Saccharomyces cerevisiae S288C: one gene and its partners. Changing the gene in region 1 together with any one later gene gives a genetic interaction. Each region holds a gene or a part of one and is shown in the gene's direction. Other genes may lie near its edges.

Region 1 (5,282 bases):
TAATCTCCATGAAATTTGGGGACCCAAATCTTTGATGAAGAATTCCATTGAGTCATCAGCCTCTTCTTGAAAAAACGATTCTGAAATAACCGGAACTTGTTTAGATTCCTTTTTGTAGGTTAATCTTATCCTGTACTTGCTGATATTGTGGTTATTAGCAGAGATTTTTTTCAAAACATCATCTAAAGTAGGCTTTTTGGATAAGTCAATTTCAGTGTCCCTTAACCCTTTAGAGCGGCTTTTTATGGTGATAGGCATTTTCAAATTAAATTCAAAATATGTATCTCTCTCAAATAGCTCAATTGGTTTCTAGATAGCTAAATAGAATATAATCTTACTGTCCTCCGTTCTGTAAAATTCACGCTCTTAGTCCCTTTTCATAATTCCTTAACTTTTTGCGTACAAAATGATATGTTTATTATATTTTTCTTTTTTTTTTTTCAAATTTTTTCTTTTTCTTGAAAAATTTTTCAAATTGGAAAGCTCATCTCTCTTGAATGTATAATACTTTCTTCCTCTAACTTTCAAAAAGTTTTACATAGCCAAGAAGTTTTCCTTACATCGGTATACTACTGTTATATAAGTTATTCTTCGAGAAACAATTAGATATCATTCATCGGATAAATCTAAGTTGCCCATTGCTTTCAATAACTCCGATCAAATTAACTCAAATCAACTAAAACAGTAATGTCATTCAGACCAGGTAGCAGAGGTGGTTCCCGTGGAGGTTCCAGAGGTGGCTTCGGTGGTAGAGGCGGTTCCCGTGGTGGTGCTCGCGGTGGTTCCAGAGGTGGCTTCGGTGGTAGAGGCGGTTCTCGTGGTGGTGCCCGTGGTGGTTCCAGAGGCGGCTTCGGTGGTAGAGGCGGTTCTCGTGGTGGTGCCCGTGGTGGCTCCAGAGGTGGTAGAGGTGGCGCTGCTGGTGGTGCCCGTGGTGGTGCCAAGGTCGTTATTGAACCACATAGACATGCCGGTGTTTACATTGCTAGAGGTAAAGAAGATTTGCTAGTTACCAAGAACATGGCCCCAGGTGAATCAGTTTATGGTGAAAAGAGAATCTCCGTTGAAGAACCATCTAAGGAAGATGGTGTCCCACCAACCAAGGTCGAATACCGTGTATGGAACCCATTCAGATCTAAGTTGGCTGCCGGTATTATGGGTGGTCTAGATGAATTATTTATTGCCCCAGGCAAGAAAGTTTTATATTTAGGTGCTGCTTCCGGTACTTCTGTTTCTCACGTTTCAGATGTTGTTGGTCCAGAAGGTGTTGTCTACGCCGTAGAATTTTCTCACAGACCAGGCAGAGAATTGATTTCTATGGCAAAGAAGAGACCTAATATCATCCCAATCATTGAAGATGCTAGACACCCACAAAAATACAGAATGTTGATTGGTATGGTTGACTGTGTCTTCGCAGATGTTGCCCAGCCTGATCAAGCTCGTATTATTGCATTGAACTCTCATATGTTCTTGAAGGACCAAGGTGGTGTTGTTATCTCCATTAAGGCTAACTGTATTGATTCTACTGTAGACGCGGAAACCGTTTTTGCTAGAGAAGTTCAAAAGTTACGTGAGGAACGTATTAAGCCATTAGAACAATTGACTTTAGAGCCATATGAAAGAGACCATTGTATCGTCGTTGGTAGATACATGAGAAGCGGTTTGAAGAAATAAGTTGAATAAAGGAAATTAGTCAAAAGTTTCTGGTAGCTTGCTCAATTATTAGCAGAATAATTGTTTCGTTTATATATATTTCCCCCATTCAGTTTCACTTCCTATTTGAAGTTTTTGTAACCCTCGACTTTGTAAAATAGATATTACTAAATTCTTTTAGAGAACAAAAGTATTGTACGTATTCGCCATATAAAAAAAAAAGAGTATATGTGGTGACTTTTTGGTCATTAATTGTTAAGAGCAAGCAAGTAGAAATCATAATCATATTTCGAGTTTTTTAAAGGTAGGAACAATATCGATAAGCTGTTCTCCAGTCTCGACACTGTTTGATGACCATATATCATTAATTCTTGTAACACTACATCATAGATTTCTCTTTATCCTTGGATTGAATCTGAAAAAATTTTGATAGAGTCTTTTGTTCAAAGTGTCACTTCTTCATCTGTCACTCTTACGTATTTTTTTTTTTTTGGCTTTGCCCATAAGAAACATCACTGTATACGCAAGGTCGCAATATTTACTATTTAACATGGATGAGAGGCAGTGTGCGACCAAAACGAAGACTTAATCATTAAGAAGAGCGTGTGTTGCGTTGATTGGTAATAACCAAGTCGAAATTTGCACTAGGAGCTTCAGTCTAGGAGTGAACTTTTGAAAAGATTTCAGTCCAAAAATTATTATTTGGAACGCGGAGCTCCTCTAATAGTCGAAATAATAGAATGCATAGCGATACTAACGGTCGAACAAAGAGCAATAATAGCCCATCAGACAATAATCCAAATGAGACAGTTATATTAATAGATAGTGATAAGGAAGAAGACGCTTCTATTCGCGAGGCTAACCTTCCTGTGAGGTTGTACCCAGACAGACGGGTAGGGAGACGACGTGATGCTTTAAATAGGTTTGTGAGGTCAGATTCAAGGAGCAGGAATTCTCAACGGACTCACATAACAGCAAGCTCTGAGCGCCCTGATTTTCAAGCTAATAACGACGATATCACTATAATACGAGAAGTTGGACGGTTTTTTGGAGACGATGGACCTATTGATCCTTCTGCACATTACGTCGATCTTGATCAGGAGCCAGGTTCTGAAACGTTAGAAACTCCAAGAACAATACAAGTAGATAACACAAACGGGTACTTGAATGATAATGGTAATAACAATGAAAGTGATGATGGCCTGACAATAGTTGAAGAGAGAACAACACGACCCAGAGTGACACTGAACCTGCCAGGCGGGGAGAGGCTTGAGGTAACTGCGACGACAACAGACATACCGATAAGAAGGTCATTTGAATTCCAAGAAGATCTAGGCGCATCACGCAGGCAGTTACTGAGAAGGAGTGCTACAAGAGCCCGTAATTTATTTGTGGACCGGTCTGATGAAAACGATGAAGATTGGACAGATGATACCCATAATTTACCAGAAGCTATTCAAAGGGCTCGTAGGGAGAGCCGTATGCGAATGAGCAGACGGATTGCAGAAAGACAACGTAGGGTACAACAGCAAAGGGTGTCCAGTGACGAAAATATAAGTACATCTATTAGGTTACAATCAATCAGGGAACGAATACAATCATATACGCCTGATATTCGTAGTGCTTTTCATCGTGCAGAGTCACTGCATGAATTCAGGTCTATTTTACAAAATGTTGCTCCAATTACTTTGCAAGAATGTGAAGAAGAACTAATGGCACTCTTCACTGAGTTCAGAAATCAACTGCTGCAGAATTGGGCCATTGATAGGGTCAGAAATACTCAGGAAGAGGCCTTGAGACTTCACCGAGAAGCATTGGAAAGACAAGAAAGAACGGCAGGAAGAGTTTTCCATCGTGGCACATTACGTGAATCAATCACAAACTATCTTAATTTCAATGGAGAGGATGGGTTCTTAAGTCGTTTGTGGAGTGGCCCAGCATTGAGCGATGCTGACGAGGAACGACACACTCAAAATATCATTGATATGATCCAAGAGAGAGAAGAACGAGAGCGGGATGTGGTCATGAAGAATCTAATGAACAAAACCAGAGCCCAACAGGAAGAATTCGAAGCTAGGGCAGCCAGCCTACCCGAAGGTTATAGCGCGTCATTTGATACTACGCCAAAAATGAAATTAGACATTACGAAAAATGGTAAAGAAGAAACCATCATTGTGACAGATGACGATTTAGCAAAAACACTCGAGGATATTCCTGTTTGTTGCTTGTGTGGCGCAGAATTGGGGGTCGGAATACCGGATGATTTTACTGGAATCAGTCAAAAGGATCGTGGTGTTTCATTTGAAGGGTTAGTGTCAAAATACAAATTCCACTGCCCCTACCAAACCCTAGCCAGACCATCAATGCTTGATAGAGATTTATCAAAACGAACGTTTATTGCATCGTGTGGTCATGCATTTTGTGGTAGGTGTTTCGCCAGGATTGACAATGCAAAAAAAAAATCTAAGATGCCCAAAAAGAAACTAGCTCAACTAAAGGGTTCGGCTCATCCGGATAATTATGGCCCCAAATTATGTCCCGCAGATTCTTGTAAGAAGCTTATTCGTTCAAGAGGCAGGTTGAAGGAGGTTTACTTCTAGCACGCGGTTTAATTTTTATAAGGGCATTTTCGAACTTATCATCATTATATATTATCTACTTGCATGAACACTTTAATCACGCTTATTTAATTAAGATTAAAAGATCAGAGGTGCAATTGTGCTTTGTTTTATATAGTGGATTTGTGTGAAAGGGTTTGCTCCCACAAGATATGGAGATACTCTAAAACAGCATATCCAAAGTACAGCATAAACATAAACCCGCTAGACAGCCCGCTAGACAGTCTTCATTTCCAGAACTGGCCGGTTGTTGTTGGACATAAATGGGCTGCTGTGGGTGTTGTTGGTAATATTGGGGCTGCTGTTGCTGATAGTATTGAGGTTGTTGCTGATACTGCTGCTGCTGCTGTTGAGGTGGATAATAGTTCTGTTGGCTTTGCGATGGAGCGTAACCTCTAGACGCCGTTTCATATCCTGGTGGTGGAGCGCTAGGACGAGAATACTGAATCGAAAGTGATGTAATGAAAATACAAGGGCTCGTTAGTACGATGTGATCTTCTAAAGGCAAAACTTGTAAAATTAACGTACGCTTTGTTTGGAGGCAGAGTTTCCGTAATAATCTTGAGCTGACATGAGATGTGTATTTGCTTGGTTTATGGGCTATTGTATGGGTTTGTCTTAATATCCTTTTCGGTTGCGTAAATACTTTTTATATTTCAATATTTCACGATGCCGCTGATAGCATCGTTTAATACGAAAACTTCGAGCCATTTACCAAGAAATATTCTGGACTAGGTGGAAGGAAGCTTCGAGAACTCACCGTGGCTATTCAAGGCTGATGGACATATGTACTGGGCTGAGCTTAAGATCTCCCATTACTGCTCCGTGGGGTTTTATGTGAAATGTGGCGTTTCAGCAGTTTTTAGTTGGCTAATTTCCTAAAAGTAGTAATTAGTTTCTTATGATGGATTTAATGGCGTAGTTCATCCGCGTTTAATTTAACTAGAGGATAATCTACTTGCAGCATGAATGAAAATAGTAAGCCAGTAAGGATGCACTGACAGACTCAGCTAC
Region 2 (4,588 bases), on another chromosome or scaffold:
CTTGTGTGTTTTCTTGGCAAGAATTTTTTCTTCTAAAGTTTCAACGTTTTTTTTCAGTTTAGCTTGAGTTTCCTCCAACAAAGATAGTTCGGATTCAGCCAATTGTATCTGTGATTCTTTTTCCTGAAGTTGGAGGTCCCAAGGCTCCAGTTCCTTTTCATGCCGAATAATCTCTGCAGATATATTCTTCGTTTTATCTTTCAAAGATAGTTTAATATCATCAAGTATACTTCGTTCCTTTTCCAGCAATTGAGTCAAGTCTTTGATCTCCGTCTCGTGTTCGGTTTGTTGTCCACGAAGCTCTTCAAGCATATTCTCGGCCTCCGATATTGAATGTTTGGTGGATTTCAAAGTCTTTTCTGCTTTTTCCATTTTACTTACCAAATTTTTTGTTCTCTCTTCTAGAGACACCCTGGTGCCTTCTAATTCTCTTCTTTCTAAAACCAGGGTCTTTTCTTTCGAGCTACAAGATGATATTCGATCTTTTATTTCCTTACGTTGTGCTTTAATCTCATCCACTTTTTTCAAAGATTCTTGAAATTTCATCTTCTCATCTTCGAGGTCTTTATTCGAAGAGGAGATCTTTTCCAAGGTGCTGGCAAGTTTAGAGTTGCTTTGCAACAATTTAAATTGAAATAATTTTGATCTTAAAAGCGTCAGCTGCTTTTCCTTCTCTAAAAACTCTAACGCCGTTTCTTTCCCTGACTCTAAAGAGTTTTTTTCTCTATCAACAATTTCAAATCTATTTTCCTTTTCCAGGCAAACTTCATTTAGATTCTCAATCTGTCCCATTCGCTCTTCAATTAACGGCTTATAGTTTGCAGTTCCAATTATGTCCTCCAGATATTCCAGTAGTCCGTCGTCACTCTCTTTTTCTGCTTTAGGCTTCATTTGAGCAATATTCTCTACTTCACCTTGTAGAATTAAAAATCGTTTATGGTCTAAATCAATACCCTCATTCTTTAAAAGCTTTGTCACCTCTGTGTAGCTACTTTCTTTTTCGTTTATGTAATATTTCGATGAGTTGTTTTTAAAGGCTTTCCTTGTAATGATCAATCCAGGTTTTTCTTCATCGATTCGGGAAGTACCCGAAGATTCATCAATAACGTACTGAAAATGTACAGCTACGGAACATGATTGCAAACTTGGGAAAGCTTCTGATTTATGAATTAAATCCGACAATCTGTCCTGTCTCATCTTGTTCGCTCTAAATCCAAATACAAATAACATGGAATCGATGACATTTGATTTACCTGAACCATTGGGGCCTACCACGGCCGAGAAGCTAGTATGAAAGGGTCCTACTACTTGTTTACCAGCGTAGGACTTGAAGTTCTCTAAGACTAGTTCGTTAATAAATAGTCTGCTCTGTTGCTTGCTCGACGACTGGTGCCTATCATAAATTTTTTGTAGTTCAACCCTGCTATTTTTCACTGGCGAAAGCTGGAGCAATTCTAATCTTCTAGTTGGCGATCTTCCTGGAGACCTTGGTGGTGATTGAGAGTAGGACTTATGGTCGCGACCCCTAGAAGAGGTTTTTGGTGGTTGCAAGTTCGGTACATGTAATGACGTGGTTGTTGAGTTTGTAGGTTGAGAAAAGGCATACCGATTTTCCCCAGAACTTAAAACAAGCTTTCTGGGAGTATAAGATTTGGAATAAGATGCTTCCAACGCAGGAAGATCCGGCTCTGGTGTATTCTCGCTTAGGTTAACTCGGTTTTCTACCTGCGAATCTTCTTCGGCATCACCTTGATCAAGAGATAATTCTGGTTCTTGGGCGGACTTCCGCTTTTGTCTTTTGCTCAATGGACTATCAGACATCAAATATATTCTGTTGGTTGCACGTGGTTAGTGTTTAAGGTGATGCGGCTTCTTATAGGGCCTCTTTTATGGTATGAAATCGATTCCAGTGTGTAGATAATGTAAACCTATATGTATTTTCGTGATTATTGTAAACAGTTTACTTTCCGTCCATAATTACAAATGCATTTCAAAATGGGCCAAGAAGAACAAGAGAATTAATGCAAGACCAAAGGAGAAGAAGCGCAGAATCGTGGACAAGATAATTTAAACTATGGAAACACCACCCATTGTGATTGATAATGGCTCATACGAAATCAAGTTTGGTCCTTCCACGAATAAGAAACCGTTCCGAGCTTTAAATGCATTGGCCAAAGATAAATTTGGGACATCGTATTTATCAAATCATATCAAAAACATCAAAGATATTTCATCTATCACCTTCAGGAGGCCACATGAACTAGGACAGCTCACATTATGGGAATTAGAGAGTTGTATATGGGATTATTGCCTTTTCAATCCTTCAGAGTTTGATGGGTTTGATCTGAAAGAGGGAAAGGGTCATCATTTGGTTGCTAGCGAGAGCTGTATGACTTTACCAGAATTAAGTAAGCATGCCGACCAGGTGATATTTGAAGAATATGAATTCGACAGTCTTTTCAAGTCTCCTGTAGCAGTCTTTGTACCATTTACCAAGTCATATAAGGGTGAAATGAGAACAATTTCAGGTAAGGACGAAGATATCGATATTGTCCGTGGCAACTCAGACAGTACAAATTCCACATCAAGCGAGTCCAAGAATGCGCAGGATTCAGGTAGCGATTATCATGATTTCCAATTAGTTATTGATTCCGGGTTTAATTGTACTTGGATAATTCCTGTCCTGAAGGGAATACCGTACTATAAAGCGGTAAAAAAATTGGACATTGGAGGCCGTTTCCTAACTGGGCTACTAAAGGAAACTCTATCATTCAGACACTACAATATGATGGATGAAACCATACTTGTTAACAATATCAAGGAACAATGCTTGTTCGTTAGCCCGGTGTCTTATTTTGATAGTTTCAAAACGAAGGATAAGCATGCACTAGAATATGTACTTCCTGACTTCCAAACAAGCTTTCTTGGTTACGTAAGAAACCCCAGAAAAGAAAATGTACCGTTACCTGAAGATGCGCAGATCATAACACTGACAGATGAGCTTTTCACAATACCAGAAACTTTTTTCCATCCAGAAATTTCGCAAATTACTAAACCAGGCATTGTGGAGGCCATCCTAGAGAGCCTTTCCATGTTGCCCGAAATAGTGCGACCTCTTATGGTAGGAAACATTGTATGTACAGGAGGAAACTTTAATCTGCCCAATTTCGCCCAACGGCTTGCGGCAGAACTACAAAGGCAATTACCCACAGATTGGACTTGTCATGTTTCGGTGCCCGAAGGTGACTGTGCTCTGTTTGGGTGGGAAGTGATGTCACAGTTTGCAAAGACAGATTCCTACCGAAAAGCGAGGGTCACAAGAGAAGAATACTATGAGCATGGTCCCGATTGGTGTACGAAGCACAGGTTTGGTTACCAGAATTGGATATAATTAACTATAGATTTACATAGCAACAATGAAAATCCGAAAAGTCGAGACCTTCAGGTCATTTTCAATTTGGATTTTGTCATGTTTTTAAGAATCTTCCGCAGGCAATAATACATCTCATATGTTTTACATTTTTATTGACAAATTCCCAAATTAGGCAAAAATTCCTCTTTTTTAGTGGTTAGAAACGCCATTCTTCCCATTTTTTCGCGATACAAAAAAAGAAATATATGGAAATGTGGAAATGTCATCATCAGAAGTCTCGAAGGAAAGTGTGCGCTTTAATCATCCCCATACTAGACTTTGTAGGAGAAGATAATACAATTTTCGTTTTATATTTATACAGTTGATTGACCGGGAAACGAAGAAACGCAAGAGAAAACGATCAAAATACACCTGTTCTTCGTTACGATATAGAAATTAAATGTTTGTTCATCGTCTCTGGACACTCGCATTTCCTTTTCTTGTGGAGATATCGAAGGCATCACAGTTGGAGAATATTAAATCTCTTCTGGACATCGAAGATAATGTGCTACCGAATTTGAATATATCGCAAAATAATAGCAACGCAGTACAAATCCTCGGGGGTGTGGACGCCTTATCTTTTTACGAGTACACAGGCCAACAAAATTTCACTAAAGAAATAGGTCCAGAAACAAGCTCACATGGATTAGTTTATTACTCTAACAACACCTATATCCAGTTGGAAGATGCCTCTGATGATACTCGAATAGACAAAATTACACCATTTGGCGTTGATTCGTTTATTCTTAGCGGATCAGGCACGATAAACAATATCTCTGTCGGAAACCAGATATTATACAATTTGTCGACACTGTCTATGACGCCTATATTCAACCAGTCTTTGGGAGCTGTTCAGGCTGTGCTCGCAGACAATTCTTCTATCTATTTTGGAGGAAACTTTTCATATAATAATGGCTCCATGACGGGCTATAGTGCTCTCATTTGGGACTCCATATCAAATACCACCCAACTTTTACCTTTTGGAGGGTTTGGTGAAAACTCCAGTGTGAATTCCATAGTCAAGCTAAATAATGACAACATTTTATTTGCAGGCCAGTTTTATACACTGGATGATCCTTCTGCGCTTATCAGTAGTTCAAATAACGGTACGAACTCAACTTCCTCTTTAAACGCTACTACATTGGAGCTAGGCCAACGAATTCCACTGAGGTACGC
Region 3 (4,151 bases), on another chromosome or scaffold:
AAATCCATAGTATTGATCCCTTTTTCTCCTGATTTGGCAACTTCGAGAAGTAGTTCAAATGCAGAATTTCCAATAGTTGACTCCTTTTTTGTGTATCCCGTTAATAATGTCCATAGGCTGTCCTCAGTAATCCCAACCGAGTATGAATGATTAGCGTCGCCTATAATATCAGTCACATTTTTAGTTGTTATAGCACCATCACAATACACCTCAATGTCCTTTTTCAATATCACGCATGAAAGCACGAACTGTTTAACTTTTTTATCAGACAAATCAAAATATTTACCAGATATATCCCACAGCTGATTCAAAGTGATTTCTTCAATGTGTCGTTAGTAAATAATCTTTCACAATATAGTACGTTTATCACCTAAACGGAGCCGAAAAGGAGAATGAGACATGAACATACTTCCCTTATTTGAAGCAATTTTATCAGACACTATTTGTACGAGTTCGTCAGGATAAATCGTCAGTACCATTTTTCTTGTGGCTAGTTGGCTTCAACCAAACGTCCTCTTCTCTCTTATGGCAAGAAGAAAGTTATATGTGTGACTGGTTGTTTATTTCACTTTCGCGACTGAAAGCGCCGCCCTTTATGATGCAAAAAACCAAGCGGTATTTGAAAATGCAGATTTGCAGAAATAAAAGAAATAAAAATAAAAATCTTATAATTTTACCAGCTTCAATAACTCGATTTGCATAAGTGTGCCTTAGTATGCTTATTATATTGACTTTGACATTGAACTTCAAAACCTTTTATGTAATGATTTAAGTCTTGTCACATGACATAATAATAAATAATTTTAAAAATATAAAATATTTTTAATAGTTTTTAAATATTTTACAGTTTATTTTTTAAATTTATTTATATGTTTTTGTTTTCCGAAGCAGTCAAAGTATTTTAATTTTCGGAGCTTTCATTTCAAGCGCCTTTTTTTTACACATAATACGATCAAGATAAATTATTATAGTGGTACAGAACTCTTAAGCACTAGGCGGTGGACCTTATTAGCTCAATCTTGAGTCAGTCCATGTATCGTTTTATAATACTTTTTTAAGCACTTTCTTTAATAAATATTCCATTGAAGTACTGTTACTGAAATGAGATGAACTGTTCAGAATGTAGAAATGGCGCCAGAAATCAATCATTGTTTAGCAAAAACACCTTTCGTCTGCTGCCTCGGGTGTTTTTTCAAATTATTTCAGCAGGTAAATTAAGATAGTTATTCGAGTGATTGCCAAATATCATGTTCTACTTCGAAGACTTATAGCTAATTAATTTTTTCATAATGAAGGTGTCGTTAATTGTTCTGATTAGTAACATGAAACTCAAAAATCATCAAAAAAAGAAAAGCTAAATGTATACTTTTTTGTCTACATTAGTTACCTTTTATTACATGAGAAAGTTATTTTTCTTCTTTTTTTTTTTTTTTTTTTGAAACTTTTTCCTCTCGGAAAATAAAAGATATATTTACAAGTGAAAGCTTATTGTAATGTGTACTTTTAAACATCAAATAACAGACCTTTACATCAAATAAGCACCGCAAGATATCCTAAAATCGACATCCAATGCATCGTAAATCATTGAGGAGGGCTAGCGCTACTGTGCCTTCCGCTCCCTATCGAAAGCAGATTATTAGCAATGCACACAATAAACCAAGCCTTTTCTCTAAAATTAAAACTTTCTTTACCCAAAAAGATTCAGCCAGAGTGAGTCCAAGGAATAATGTTGCTAATAAACAACCACGCAATGAGTCTTTTAACAGAAGAATCTCAAGTATGCCTGGAGGTTATTTCCATTCTGAGATATCCCCAGATTCTACTGTAAACCGTTCCGTAGTTGTTTCTGCAGTGGGTGAAGCCAGAAACGACATTGAGAATAAAGAAGAGGAGTATGATGAAACACATGAAACTAACATCTCCAATGCAAAGCTTGCAAACTTTTTTAGTAAAAAAGGTAATGAGCCTTTATCAGAAATTGAAATAGAGGGTGTGATGTCATTGTTACAAAAATCAAGCAAATCCATGATAACTTCGGAAGGAGAACAAAAATCAGCCGAAGGTAATAATATCGACCAGTCGCTTATCTTGAAGGAGTCAGGAAGTACACCAATCAGCATATCTAATGCGCCGACCTTCAACCCAAAATATGATACTTCAAATGCGTCAATGAATACGACTTTGGGAAGCATTGGTTCAAGAAAATACAGTTTCAATTATTCTAGCCTGCCCTCACCATACAAAACAACCGTTTATAGATATAGTGCAGCGAAAAAGATCCCCGATACATACACAGCCAACACATCTGCTCAAAGTATAGCATCTGCTAAATCGGTAAGAAGTGGTGTTTCAAAGTCAGCTCCTAGTAAGAAAATAAGTAATACAGCTGCGGCATTGGTCTCACTATTAGATGAAAATGACAGTAAGAAGAATAATGCAGCTTCAGAACTTGCTAATCCATACTCCTCATATGTAAGCCAAATACGCAAACATAAGAGAGTTTCTCCAAATGCTGCACCAAGGCAAGAGATCAGTGAAGAAGAAACTACTGTTAAGCCATTATTTCAAAACGTTCCTGAACAAGGCGAAGAACCAATGAAACAACTGAACGCCACCAAAATTTCACCATCTGCGCCAAGCAAAGATTCTTTTACTAAATACAAACCTGCAAGGTCCTCATCCTTACGCTCAAATGTCGTCGTAGCTGAAACCTCACCTGAAAAGAAGGATGGTGGAGATAAACCTCCATCCTCTGCTTTTAACTTCTCGTTTAATACTTCAAGAAACGTTGAACCTACTGAGAATGCTTATAAGAGCGAGAACGCACCATCTGCATCATCAAAGGAATTCAATTTTACCAACCTACAGGCGAAGCCGTTAGTTGGAAAGCCAAAAACCGAACTTACAAAGGGCGATTCTACTCCCGTCCAACCAGATCTTTCGGTTACTCCTCAAAAAAGTTCATCGAAAGGCTTTGTTTTTAATAGTGTTCAAAAGAAATCACGGTCCAATCTTTCACAAGAAAACGATAATGAAGGTAAACATATCAGCGCCTCAATTGATAACGACTTTTCAGAGGAAAAGGCGGAAGAGTTTGATTTCAATGTTCCCGTGGTGTCTAAGCAGCTAGGAAATGGCTTGGTTGATGAAAATAAAGTTGAGGCTTTCAAGTCCCTATATACCTTTTGATAATGAAAATTTTAGCCGTGACATAATTACCGTATAGCCCAACTCAATACGTAAGTTTGTGTAAAATACCATTCCAAGATGATATTATTTAGTCATTTTTTTTCCACTTTCTCAAAAAGAAGGAATACCTTTAGCGGCTCTTATAAACTATAAATTTCTAGAAGATACATAAAAGGTTTTTAGTCTGATCATAAAATTTTTTGCTTAACAAAAAATTTGCCCAGGTGTTTCATTTGCCAGCCACAAGTAACAGCGAGAACAATTAATTGAATGACAATCCACCACATAGCACGAGAATTAACAGCTTCAGAGGCGTCTCTAAAGGTAGCTTCACGATCTCTCATCAATTTTTGCTCTCTTCTAATTTCGCCGATCTTGGAGTTTAGGACGTTAACCTTGGCATGTAGAATGTCAATAGTGGCTTTACCCTTAGAATCTAACTTTTCATCAGAGCCCACTTGGAATTCAACGTCAATCTTCGTTTTAGCCTTAATCAACCAGCCACCAGCTTCGGGCTGAATACAGATTTTATGTTCACCCGAATCAGACGCAAGGAAAGTTAAATCACCACTTGCTGAACCTTTCTGATGAACAACCAGGTGGTTATCATCAAAAGTTTCCTCAATATCAATCAAGACACCAAAATCTTGCGCACCAGCGTCTCTGTAATTTTGTAATTGGTCATCGTAAATTTGTGCCTTGTAAGTTGCTTGGAACAAAGTACCTTTAGACAATTCCTTGTGGAAGCACTTACGTTCAGCACCAGAAGTATAATAATAGAACGCAGTAACTTGAGCTGGTAAAACTAGACAGCAGGCAAAAACCTGTAAAAGAGAGGTTAAAAGCATGATTAGTAGAGAGATTGGTTACCTTTAAATACTTTTCCAAACTACAGAGGGAAGATAGAGTAAGTTTTGTATGTACACATTTCTGCTGATGTGTTTTTTTTTTTCAACTTATTA
Region 4 (3,581 bases), on another chromosome or scaffold:
GCTAGTCTCTTCGGCAAGCACCTCATCGACTAATGCCGCCATAAGTTATAACCATATATTAATATTGATACTCTCTATGAAAATTTTAGCGAAAAAAAATTTTGCGATGAGATCATTCCAAACGGATTGACGCGTGGAAGAAACCGGCGATTTTCTGGTTTCTGGTTCTTTGATGGAAGTTGGACGAGACGGTGAAGAATAGAACAAGGGACAGGTTAACTAGACTCAATCGATTAAAAACATACATACTACCAGGGCAAAATGTCTGAAAATAAGAACTCTGAGGCTGAAGACGTATTTGAATTTTTAGATTCTTTGCCAGAAGCAAAGAATGGCGGGAAAATGGTTAATACTGACGTAAAGGGTAGCCAAGAAGGCGTTAAGGGAGGTTCTAATTCTGTGGCGGGCAAGACCGGGAATGATGGAAAGAAAGGTGACGATGATATCTTTGAATTCTTAGAAGAGTTGGAGAAGAGTAACTTAAGCTTAACTGACAAGAAAGGGGTTGAAAAGAAGGCTCCCAGTGAATCAGTTAATAATAAAGCACAAGACGAAAAAGTAGAAGAATCAAAAGAAAACAAAAATTCCGAGCAGGACGCTCACGGAAAGGAAAAGGAACCACAGCAGCAGGAGAAAGAAGAAGAAGAGGAGGAAGAAGAAGAAGAAGAAGAGGAGGAGGAGGAGACCCCATTGCATGACCCAATTGCTTCTATTTCAAACTGGTGGTCCTCCTCTGGATCCGCAAAGGTATCGAGTATTTGGAATAAAACTGCAGAACAAGCATCCCAGATCAAAAACCGACTTGCCCAAGAACAGCTTGATTTGACTTCAAAGATAAACACGAGCACGATTACTGAAATAGCCAGAAACTTACAGAAAATCGTTGTTGGTGAGACTGAAGAGGTGCTGCGAATTCATCTAGTCCATGATTTGGTTAACTATCCCTCATTACAATACAATATTGAAAGCAAGTTTGATCAAGTTCTAAGCTCACAAGTTGAGGGAGGAATCAGAATATTTGTAGATGAATGGGGCCATCCTAACAATAATGGAATTACACCTGTGGAAAAAAAGCCTTCAGTTGCAGACGGTGAGTTAGGCAACTCTAAAAAAAAATTACAGTTTAATCTATTCGACGGCAAGGTAACAGACGGTGAGAAACTGGCATTTGCAAACCTGGAAAATGCAGTCAAACTCTTCAATACTGCACATGAGGAATACCAGAAACAACAGAAAGAGGCTGATGCCACTCCAGATGACGATAGGAGTTCTATTAGCAGTAACAGCAATAAAATCAGTGATTTATTCATATCCATCTTACCAATTGCCATTCCGCAAAAACAAAAAGATGCCGACGGTGACTTTCAAGTGACCGACTCCAATACGCCAGGCAATTTCAATTTCACCCTTGTATTGAAAGACATAACTAACGATATTACCACCATAACAAGATCACAAGGATTCCCTGTCAAATGGGTCAATTGGCTAGAAGGATCCGTGGAGAAAACAGGATCAACAGCAAGTGAGGAGAGGAATAAGTCATACGATCAAAAGAAACAAAAAGAAAGTGAAGACGAAGACGAAGACGATGAGATCATTGATCCTAGTGAATGGGTAAAGGAATGGATCGAAGATGGATTAAGCTTGTCATTTGGGGTCATGGCACAGAATTATGTCATTGACCGTATGGGTCTTTGATACACTTAATACATAACATTTATAGCGTAACGATGATGTATAAAGTTACAAGCGCAGAGGAGTGGGTTCAAATTCGGCCGACTTGTTACCCGCGTTCGTTGAATAATGGAAAATATGAAAAAAATAGAGGAAGTCGTGAATATACAACGGTGTTCAGCACCTGTATTTCAATCTAGGGGAAGCCTGTATGACCAAGGGCTGATTAAATATTAGTGAAGATACAAGTAACACAGTTTAGTTATATTTTCTTTTCCTTTTCAACAGGATTGCCAACGCTGCAGTAGAGTTATACCAACATTTGCTCCGCTTTCAAAACCTATAAAAGAAAGCAGCCCTCGAATCGAATTAATTCACCAAAAATGTCTGCAAATAGCAAGGACAGAAATCAGTCCAATCAGGATGCGAAGCGACAACAGCAGAATTTCCCAAAGAAGATTTCAGAAGGTGAGGCCGATTTATATCTCGACCAGTATAACTTCACTACCACCGCTGCTATTGTAAGCTCAGTAGACCGTAAAATCTTCGTTCTTTTGCGTGATGGAAGAATGCTATTCGGTGTACTAAGAACCTTTGACCAATATGCAAATTTGATACTTCAAGATTGCGTGGAGAGAATATATTTTAGCGAAGAAAACAAATACGCTGAAGAAGACCGCGGCATATTCATGATTCGTGGTGAAAATGTTGTCATGTTAGGCGAAGTAGACATCGATAAAGAAGATCAACCCCTTGAGGCCATGGAACGCATACCATTTAAGGAGGCTTGGCTGACCAAGCAAAAAAATGATGAGAAAAGGTTTAAAGAGGAAACCCACAAAGGTAAAAAAATGGCCCGCCATGGTATCGTTTACGATTTCCATAAATCTGACATGTACTAAGAAAGAAAAACACAATACTACCAACATATATCCTGGAGTAAACTCTCAAAAATTTCCACATTCAGTTTTACCTATCCGTACACTTAATCAACTGCCTTTGGAGATGGAACAATAAAAAAAATGCAAGAGAGGAGGCCGTATTTGTATATAAATTAATATATTTAAATGTAAAATATATACAGTACTTGAGTTTTTTTATGAAGTAACGTATTTGCGCAGCATTCTTTTTCCTCTTACACTTCGTTATAACATTAACACTCATGCTATTGATACTTTTTCTTTATTATTATCTATAAAATTTTTTCGCTTTTTGTTTATGCCATGCCGTTAGCAACGAATTTTTTTCCATGCTCATCACTTTTAAAACTGTTTAAAGTATATAGAAAATATATGTGAATAAGATCGGGGTGGGACTATCAGGTAGCTAAGATTACGCAGATTTAGAAATGTCAACAAATTGTTTTTCCGGTTACAAAGACCTCATCAAGGAAGGCGATTTAACTCTAATATGGGTTTCTAGAGATAACATCAAACCGGTAAGGATGCATTCCGAAGAGGTATTCAATACTCGTTATGGTTCATTTCCTCATAAGGATATCATAGGTAAACCTTATGGTTCTCAAATTGCTATAAGAACAAAGGGCTCAAATAAGTTTGCATTCGTCCATGTTCTGCAACCAACTCCTGAATTGTGGACTTTGTCGTTACCACACAGAACTCAAATTGTATATACGCCCGACTCTTCCTACATCATGCAAAGGTTGAATTGTAGCCCTCACAGCAGAGTGATCGAGGCAGGTACAGGCTCAGGATCATTTTCGCACGCTTTTGCAAGATCTGTAGGTCATCTTTTTAGTTTTGAATTTCATCACATAAGATACGAACAAGCATTAGAGGAATTCAAAGAGCATGGACTTATTGATGATAACGTTACGATTACACATCGGGATGTTTGCCAAGGTGGATTTCTTATAAAGAAGGGAGACACTACATCTTACGAATTTG

Evidence for each region.
Region 2: mutations in SLX5 (region 1) and ARP6 together harm fitness more than expected from each alone (negative genetic interaction), as found in Saccharomyces cerevisiae (5 studies listed by BioGRID, with this or other methods).
Region 3: mutations in SLX5 (region 1) and NUP60 together harm fitness more than expected from each alone (negative genetic interaction), as found in Saccharomyces cerevisiae (6 studies listed by BioGRID, with this or other methods).
Region 4: mutations in SLX5 (region 1) and LSM1 together harm fitness more than expected from each alone (negative genetic interaction), as found in Saccharomyces cerevisiae (6 studies listed by BioGRID, with this or other methods).

What each region holds. Positions count from the first base shown.
Region 1 is NC_001136.10:426,677-431,958, forward strand, and holds SLX5 (SUMO-targeted ubiquitin ligase complex subunit SLX5), read left to right. Parts: upstream 1-2,390; coding exon 2,391-4,250; downstream 4,251-5,282. Other genes in the region: trans-2-enoyl-CoA reductase (NADPH) TSC13, read right to left, coding at 1-258; rRNA methyltransferase NOP1, read left to right, coding at 688-1,671; YDL012C (uncharacterized protein), read right to left, coding at 4,432-4,710, 4,797-4,841. UniProt on the Saccharomyces cerevisiae protein: Component of the SUMO-targeted ubiquitin ligase (STUbL) complex SLX5/SLX8 that mediates ubiquitination and subsequent desumoylation of sumoylated proteins and proteins containing SUMO-like domains for their degradation.
Region 2 is NC_001144.5:299,476-304,063, reverse strand, and holds ARP6 (Arp6p), read left to right. Parts: upstream 1-2,074; coding exon 2,075-3,391; downstream 3,392-4,588. Other genes in the region: condensin subunit SMC4, read right to left, coding at 1-1,821; RAX2 (Rax2p), read left to right, coding at 3,813-4,588. UniProt on the Saccharomyces cerevisiae protein: Component of the SWR1 complex which mediates the ATP-dependent exchange of histone H2A for the H2A variant HZT1 leading to transcriptional regulation of selected genes by chromatin remodeling. Involved in chromosome stability.
Region 3 is NC_001133.9:150,688-154,838, forward strand, and holds NUP60 (FG-nucleoporin NUP60), read left to right. Parts: upstream 1-1,569; coding exon 1,570-3,189; downstream 3,190-4,151. Other genes in the region: transcription factor TFIIIC subunit TFC3, read right to left, coding at 1-319, 410-479; ERP1 (Erp1p), read right to left, coding at 3,378-4,037. UniProt on the Saccharomyces cerevisiae protein: Functions as a component of the nuclear pore complex (NPC).
Region 4 is NC_001142.9:186,121-189,701, reverse strand, and holds LSM1 (Lsm1p), read left to right. Parts: upstream 1-2,057; coding exon 2,058-2,576; downstream 2,577-3,581. Other genes in the region: DUF5427 domain-containing protein MTC1, read left to right, coding at 262-1,698; tRNA 1-methyladenosine methyltransferase subunit GCD14, read left to right, coding at 3,023-3,581. UniProt on the Saccharomyces cerevisiae protein: Component of the cytoplasmic LSM1-LSM7 complex which is involved in mRNA degradation by activating the decapping step.